2 linked regions of the Saccharomyces cerevisiae S288C genome follow. The protein of the gene in region 2 interacts with the protein of the main gene of each other region in a biochemical or structural test. Each region holds a gene or a part of one and is shown on either strand. Other genes may lie near its edges.

Region 1 (3,572 bases), on a different chromosome or scaffold from region 2:
TAACGTATTGAAAGATGCCATTGTGGTTAACCCATGGGATTCGGTGGCCGTGGCTAAATCTATTAACATGGCTTTGAAATTGGACAAGGAAGAAAAGTCCAATTTAGAATCAAAATTATGGAAAGAAGTTCCTACAATTCAAGATTGGACTAATAAGTTTTTGAGTTCATTAAAGGAACAGGCGTCATCTAATGATGATATGGAAAGGAAAATGACTCCAGCACTTAATAGACCTGTTCTTTTAGAAAATTACAAGCAGGCTAAGCGTAGATTGTTCCTTTTTGATTACGATGGTACTTTGACCCCAATTGTCAAAGACCCAGCTGCAGCTATTCCATCGGCAAGACTTTATACAATTCTACAAAAATTATGTGCTGATCCTCATAATCAAATCTGGATTATTTCTGGTCGTGACCAGAAGTTTTTGAACAAGTGGTTAGGCGGTAAACTTCCTCAACTGGGTCTAAGTGCGGAGCATGGATGTTTCATGAAAGATGTTTCTTGCCAAGATTGGGTCAATTTGACCGAAAAAGTTGATATGTCTTGGCAAGTACGCGTCAATGAAGTGATGGAAGAATTTACCACAAGGACCCCAGGTTCATTCATCGAAAGAAAGAAAGTCGCTCTAACTTGGCATTATAGACGTACCGTTCCAGAATTGGGTGAATTCCACGCCAAAGAACTGAAAGAAAAATTGTTATCATTTACTGATGACTTTGATTTAGAGGTCATGGATGGTAAAGCAAACATTGAAGTTCGTCCAAGATTCGTCAACAAAGGTGAAATAGTCAAGAGACTAGTCTGGCATCAACATGGCAAACCACAGGACATGTTGAAGGGAATCAGTGAAAAACTACCTAAGGATGAAATGCCTGATTTTGTATTATGTTTGGGTGATGACTTCACTGACGAAGACATGTTTAGACAGTTGAATACCATTGAAACTTGTTGGAAAGAAAAATATCCTGACCAAAAAAATCAATGGGGCAACTACGGATTCTATCCTGTCACTGTGGGATCTGCATCCAAGAAAACTGTCGCAAAGGCTCATTTAACCGATCCTCAGCAAGTCCTGGAGACTTTAGGTTTACTTGTTGGTGATGTCTCTCTCTTCCAAAGTGCTGGTACGGTCGACCTGGATTCCAGAGGTCATGTCAAGAATAGTGAGAGCAGTTTGAAATCAAAGCTAGCATCTAAAGCTTATGTTATGAAAAGATCGGCTTCTTACACCGGCGCAAAGGTTTGAAACACCCTTTTTAACGAAATGGTTATGACTAGACAGACATCTTACGTCTTACTCCTTCATGCTTTATTTTTTTCTTTGTATTGTATTTGAACAGTCAATATGTGGTGTTGCGACGAAGGCATATATATAATAGTCTCAACCCACCATTTTCGAAGATTTACATACACATTATATTTTTATAAACTTCCAATATGTAATAACTTTATATGATATGTAACTTCTCACTATTATCCTTACTATTAAACGGTTTTTAATAAATATCATTGTTCTTTGTTTTATTAATGAGAAAAAGAAATTTAATACAATGTCCGGCGGGAAGAAAAAAAATCGATGAATTAATTGAAAAAAAGTATCTTTATCATGTGAACTGAGGAGAAGAACGGCATCTCGAAAAGAGCACGTCGAAACAGCGGTAGGTAAAAGAGGGTACTACCAGAGGTCTTTTCTCTTTATACGTTAACCTCTCAGCTTTTTCTTTTGCAATTCAGGACACTTTAACTTGTAGTCACACGCTAGTCCACGTAGCAAAGTAAAACAGCACGAAAAAAGTGATTACAAATTTCAAGGGAGATATGATGGACTTAGATAAGATTATAGCATCACTGAGAGACGGAAAACATATTCCTGAAGAAACCGTTTTTAGGCTATGTTTAAATTCACAGGAACTATTAATGAATGAAGGCAATGTAACACAAGTCGATACACCGGTTACAATATGCGGTGATATACATGGCCAATTACACGATCTACTAACGCTCTTCGAAAAGAGTGGTGGTGTAGAGAAAACAAGGTATATTTTCTTGGGCGATTTTGTGGATAGGGGATTTTACTCATTGGAGAGTTTTTTACTTTTACTATGTTACAAATTAAGATATCCTGATAGGATTACTTTAATTAGAGGCAATCACGAAACCCGGCAAATTACTAAAGTATACGGATTTTACGATGAAGTAGTAAGAAAATATGGTAATAGTAACGTATGGAGGTACTGCTGTGAAGTTTTTGATTATTTATCATTGGGGGCAATAATAAACAATAGCATATTCTGTGTTCATGGTGGATTATCTCCGGATATGACCACGGTTGATGAAATACGAACAATAGACAGGAAACAAGAAGTTCCACATGAAGGTGCTATGTGTGACTTATTATGGAGCGACCCCGAAGACGTTGACACATGGTCATTATCACCAAGAGGTGCTGGATTTCTTTTCGGTAAAAGAGAAGTTGATCAATTCTTAGAGAAAAACAACGTTGAGTTAATTGCTAGAGCTCATCAGTTAGTGATGGAAGGTTACAAAGAAATGTTCGACGGTGGATTAGTGACAGTCTGGTCGGCACCGAATTACTGTTATCGTTGTGGTAATGTAGCAGCTGTATTGAAGATAGACGACGATTTGAATCGTGAATATACAATTTTTGAAGCTGTTCAGGCACAAAATGAAGTCGGAAATGCTATAATTCCAACCAAAAAATCTCAAATGGACTATTTCTTATAAATTTTTAACAGGCACTCTAATTGTCAAGTGCATTTTTCTTTTTTTCTTCATAATGCAATAAAGGAAAAAAAATTGTAATATTACATACTTCTTTTCACATCTTAGCTAATTAACAATATGGCTTTTGAATACTAATATATACCCAGCTACCGTTTCTTCTTTTATTTTTTATTCCTTTTTTTCTTCAGTAGAATATGTTATAGATGCGGAGGTCCCCTAAGTTCTTCACGTGTTCTCTTCTCATCGCGTTTGATATGAAAAATAGAAAAAAATACATAGTAGCATGACTAACTAATAATAAGCTCCGCTATCAAAGATGTCAAGTACATTAAGGAAAGCTTTTAGATAAGGAAAAGAACTTATTAATAATATATAATATGAAAATATGTCGCTTGGTATACCACTTTCCCAATTAATAGTAGAAAGTCCAAAGCCATTAAGTAGCGGCATCACAGGATTAGATGAGATATTAAACCTGGGATTCCAGGCAAGGTCGATCTACGAAATATTTGGGCCTCCGGGCATTGGCAAGACTAATTTTGGCATTCAATTGGTGTGTAATTCGTTAGAAGGCATACAACAATCGGAAATAAACGACGATAAAATTCTATGGATAGAAACATTTCAAGAAATGCCCATAAACATACTAAGAGAACGCTTTCAAAAATTTAAAATCGTGGAAGAAAATGTGAAGCGGGTCCGAATAACGAAATTTGGACAGCTATTATATTTCTTCCAGAATTTGTTCAAATTATCTCAAAGTGTGCGATATAAACTAGTTATAATTGATGGATTTTCTCAATTAGTCTGCGATCATCTGTGTACAC
Region 2 (5,293 bases):
CTCTGCCACTTTCCATTATTATGGTGTGCCGTTTCAAGGACATGTGGGCGCTGCTAAAGCGGGAATAGACGCATTGGCAAAGAATTTAGCGGTTGAGTTGGGGCCTCTGGGTATACGTTCGAATTGCATTGCTCCAGGTGCTATCGATAATACGGAAGGCTTGAAGAGATTAGCCGGCAAAAAATATAAGGAAAAGGCCTTGGCAAAGATACCATTACAAAGGCTTGGATCTACACGGGATATAGCCGAATCTACTGTTTATATTTTTTCACCCGCCGCATCGTATGTCACCGGTACCGTCTTAGTTGTTGACGGTGGTATGTGGCATTTAGGGACCTATTTTGGACATGAGTTGTATCCAGAAGCCTTAATAAAGAGTATGACATCTAAATTATAATACGTATAGGTATTGAGTACTATTATTATATGACACTTTCTCGTATGCTTTTTGATAGTTAATTGTATATTGATGAATTTTATATACAATGAGTGCACTATCGTTGTTAAACTTCTTACAACCATGACCGTTGTGCTAGCTTTTTATTCTTCTTTCCAACAAGGAAAAACTCAAGTACTTGCATTCATTTGGTCAACGCTTTTTTTAAATGCTAACTGATCACCAGAATAATGGGGGTCATTTTCAAAGTGTTCAATCTCAGAATGTAATCTTTTGACGTTTTTAATGTCAATATCTTCTAAATGATTCGAAGCAAATCCATCTGTTGACATATTTACAGAAATGTCATTCCCCCCTTCAATGCTATTTTCAAAGCTAGAATGATCGGGTTGGTTTTCTTCCCCGGTTTCTAGCATATCCTGGATGAAAGGGATATCAGTAGCTTTTCTCAAGACATCACCATATGTTTGAACTAAGTATTTGTTTAAAATGGTAAAGTTTGTCCTATTGTTGTTCACGTTCGTTTTGACGTCATTACCGTTGCCATCATAAGAACCATTGGTTTTTTCCTTTCTGTTATGGCCATCACTTTGATAAGCTCTACATTCTGTTATAATAATGCGGAAAAAATCTTGAATGCATGAATTTGCAAGATTATTCTTATCTATGTTCTCCTGGAAGAGTTTAAAAACCGGCGCATATAAATTTTTTGAAATCATATATCGATGATAGTATTTATCATCGAGACACATAAGGTTTTTAATGCATCTTACTGCTGTTAACCTTAGCTGCATCATATGATTACCGCCGATAAGTTTGCTAACAGAATCTAGTATACCGTTTTCTAATATGAATCTTCTGGATAAGACACGATCATGCTCAGTGCAAACAAATGATACCAATTTCACTAAATGAATTAACAAAAGATCGTCTTTTGTAACCTTTTCTATTTGCCCATCTATTTCTGCCATTTCCGTTGTGATATCCTTCTTGATTAATGGACCAAACAGTATGGGTGCGATTTTATTATAGAAATTTGCAAAATATTCCATTACTTGAAATTCAGATTCAGATTCTGGCTCTAGATTATTCATTTCATCGCTGCTATAGTGATAGTTATTTAAATTGATTGAATCCGAGTTTAAACCATAACTGAAACTTGGGAAATCTTCAGATGTGTTCTTAGCTTCATAATTTGATCTGCCCATAAGATCATATGAACCTTCTCCATTACCCACACATCCTTCAGGGTGAAGCAAAGTATTTAGCGCTTGCACAACTTGTTCTCGCAATCCGGGACTCCTGTCGGACAGAAGAATGGTTGAAAGTATCAATAACAACTTGGAATCAGTACTGGAGCTGTAATCCTGCGGATATTTCCGATGGGAAGACTTGTCATCGGGCGCTGATTTATGTTGCCGTTTGAAAGAATCTTCATTCTGAACGTTGTGAATTAACAAGATATCGTGTTCGATTATAGTAATGATAGTATCCGTAGCTAAAATCCTAACATTACTATCCGTCTCCATGTGAAATGCATAATCTAAAACTTTGAATAGACCCTTTCGAACAAGTGTTTTATAGAACTTAGAACGGTCAACCGCATCTAAATTGATTGACATTTGAACACACTGTTGCAACAATCTAATCCCGTCTTTTCGTTTTTGTACAAACTTCTCCTTCTCTGAAGAGCTTTCTGGAAGGGTTTTGGTATCATAAAGCTCTATTAGTCTGTCCAAAAACGTCCCTACTTGAAGAAAGTCGATTATACACGTTTCCAGGTCCATGACAATTTCCGAGATTAAGTTGAAATTATGATCGTCTAAAAATCGTACTAATACCACGTCTTTTAAGAACTGTAAGCGAAAACATTTTTTCATTATTATTTTTAAGTCCTCATTTTCCAATGGAATAACCTCTTTGAAATTGGGACCTTTTGATCCTAAATATTTCCTATGATTTGCCTTTGATGTAGGGTATTCAGTATCGTATTCTAAAATCCCAACTATTCCCATAATCCTATCGTCCTCCACCATTGACTCCAATATGTCTCTTTTATTGTAAAGTATCAAAGTTTTGATGATGTTACTTAGCAAAAATAAATCCTTCGGTATCTTTTCTTCTTCTGCTTTGTGGAAATGAGAAATCAGTGTATCAATGTAATTTGACTGGAGGATAAACTCAATGGTTTCGTTTTTCAAAAAATCGAAAGAAGTATTTTCATTCAAAATCTTTAGAGCTTCTAGTAAAGTTTGACTATTCTGTTGCTGGTCGTTGGAGGGCAAGGTCACAGGGCCCGTTATAATGTCGTGAACAGACCCGAGTCCGTTGTCGCTGGATTTTACGGTGACTAAAGAAATATTTGACTCTATGTTCCTTTGGACGTGAACAATGAATTCACATAAGGTGTCACATCCCATACTTTCTTCAAAACTCAAGGCTATATCTTTCCCCCCTAAATCCTTCCAAACAATAAGCGTTTCCTCCTGCCGTTGATATTCAATATTTCCTTCTAGTTTGGATTTTAGTAAAGTTTCAGTTGGGGAGTCTTCATCTGAGACAACAAGATATGCGAACTTACCTTCGTCCACCTCCCCTATACAAAACCCTGTACCTGTGTCTTTCCATTCGTTGTTCTCTAAAATGTAAACCTTTACTCTTTTGGGTTCAGTATTAACCGAAACGGCTTGTTCAGTATCCTCATCCATCGGGGTCGGAGATGTAGTAGGTGTACCCGGTAATGACATTACTCTTACTATACGTAAATCCTAAACTTTTCAGTTAGAATTTCTGTTTCAAACACAGACCAAAAAAAATACTGTTTTCTACCGGTTTAATATGGAATAAATGAGTTTCGATGAATTATAGTACCAGTTCAGTACACTCTTCTTTATTTTTTTTTTTTTCAGTATGCGCGGGTTTTGAAAGCACTAGGTCTTTTAGATTTTACGTCAAAGGAGGCCGAGAAAATATTGTTAACTATGCCACTGATGCAAGCAATCTCTATTGTGCAATTCTAGTTATATCTACCTTGCAATTGCCCTTTAGAAAGTATTGGTCTTCTTTCTTTTGTTTCTTCTTCGGATGAAACACCAAAGGAAAAAAAAAAAAGACAGATAGAAAAAGAAAAGATGGCGCGTCAGAAAAAGAAACGACGGTTTTATCATCTTAAAAGAGAATCATGATGGCTATTTGTTCACAAAATAAGGGATTATATAAAAATTATGTATGGTAGTGGCATTATAGATTTGGGCTATCAGAGTTTCAATATTTGGTCTGTGGATTCATATCCAAATGGCTCAAAGCCGAATTTATTGGCGAAATCTCGAGGAATGAATCTTCCCCCCACGTAATGAGTTGTTTGATTCTCCCTTATGTGAGAGCTGCATGGCTTGGGGACAGTCAGAGATACAAGAACAGCAGGATTAATTGAGGGCTGAGAGATCGGACCTTTGTCAACGTCCCAACCTGTGGGGACGTCCACCGAAACAATCGGGATAATGTTTTGCACTTTGCACAGTTCTTCGACAATGCCCTTGAATGGCTCTCTCATGGGAGGCTTGAAACTAAAACCAAATATTGCATCTACAATGCATAAGGTCTTTTCCGGCTTCAAATATTCCAGCCAGTTTCCCTCATCTTGAGACAGGACAGGAACTTTGAAAAAATTCAATTGGTGAACCAGCTGTTTGTAGAATTCAGTGCGCTCGCTTCTCTTGGGGTAGAAAACAACAGGGTTGTAACCAAAAAGCTTCAAATGTCTTGCGCACACGAGACCATCCCCGCCATTGTTACCTGGCCCAGCAATAACAAATACATGTTTGCCCTTTTCCGTTTCTGTCTTGCCTCTCAGTGGAAACTGGCGACATACAGCCTGCGCGACACTAAACCCAGCTAACTCCATTAGCTGTTGTAGAGTGAATCCGATTTGAGGACCCATCAATTCTTTGTCGATTTCAGCTGCAAGCTTTGATGAAACAACTTTCAACGTAGACATTTTTACCTTACAATGATTTCTCTTTAATACCTGAGATTGGTGTGTTGAAATGAAAATATGTGTTGGCCCAGCAACAGACAATAATATAAGCAAGGATCCTGGTCGTTTGATATTCTTCTTGAGTTTTTTTCTTATATATGAACGTATGTGTATATATTCACCATCCCTATTGTCTCCACCCCTTGTTCGCTCGTAGCGACGGAAACAATCAAATAAGAGGACCCACGGTAAAAGTAGCGTAAATTTTACGGTTCTGCTGCAAAATAAAGAAACCCATTTTGTATCCTTTACATCAGGAATAACGTAAAAAGAATTATCATTAGTTCGTAGTTATATAATAACGTCTGTTCATTATAAAAGAGTACAAGAAACAGTAAGATAGTAAACGTCACTGTTAAATAGTTAATTATACCGCCAATCTACACCAGAAAATTAAAAGAGAAAGCAATATATGTTAAACATTATTATCGTGTCATCTTTGTAAATCCCTTAACATACTTCTAACACAACCCATGTCTTCAATTAACATTTTCCTTAACCACTGCGTCTCTTGGCGCTGTAATTCCAATTCTCTTTCTAATTGCACAATTCTTTGGCCTTTTTCAGAAATGATTGCGTCATAAGCTTCTTTCAATGGGCGTATCACGGCTTCTGTATCTATAGGTCCCATGCTGTTTGAAGGATTTAAATCAACTTTCATTTGGGTGTTATTCGCGTTTAAATTAGTGTCCGGACCATCATTTATTAACGCACCCTCTGCTGCAGTTGTCATCGGCCTCTGCCTCTTACTCGTATTTGTCAGTTGCAAAAGTTCTTCCACCGCTTCGTCATCCAGCGTATTAACATCTAACGATCCCAGTGACCTTCGTTTCCACGAATGGGATCCATTATTGGACATT

Evidence for each region.
Region 1: the proteins of PSY2 (region 2) and PPH3 form a complex in vitro, tested with the Saccharomyces cerevisiae proteins (2 studies listed by BioGRID).

What each region holds. Positions count from the first base shown.
Region 1 is NC_001136.10:595,338-598,909, forward strand, and holds PPH3 (phosphoprotein phosphatase PP4 catalytic subunit PPH3), read left to right. Parts: upstream 1-1,818; coding exon 1,819-2,745; downstream 2,746-3,572. Other genes in the region: trehalose-phosphatase TPS2, read left to right, coding at 1-1,246; putative DNA-dependent ATPase RAD55, read left to right, coding at 3,131-3,572. UniProt on the Saccharomyces cerevisiae protein: Forms the histone H2A phosphatase complex in association with the regulatory subunits PSY2 and PSY4, which dephosphorylates H2AS128ph (gamma-H2A) that has been displaced from sites of DNA lesions in the double-stranded DNA break repair process.
Region 2 is NC_001146.8:260,060-265,352, forward strand, and holds PSY2 (Psy2p), read right to left. Parts: upstream 3,145-5,293; coding exon 568-3,144; downstream 1-567. Other genes in the region: SPS19 (2,4-dienoyl-CoA reductase (NADPH)), read left to right, coding at 1-397; NNR1 (NADHX epimerase), read right to left, coding at 3,654-4,394; GCR2 (Gcr2p), read right to left, coding at 4,867-5,293.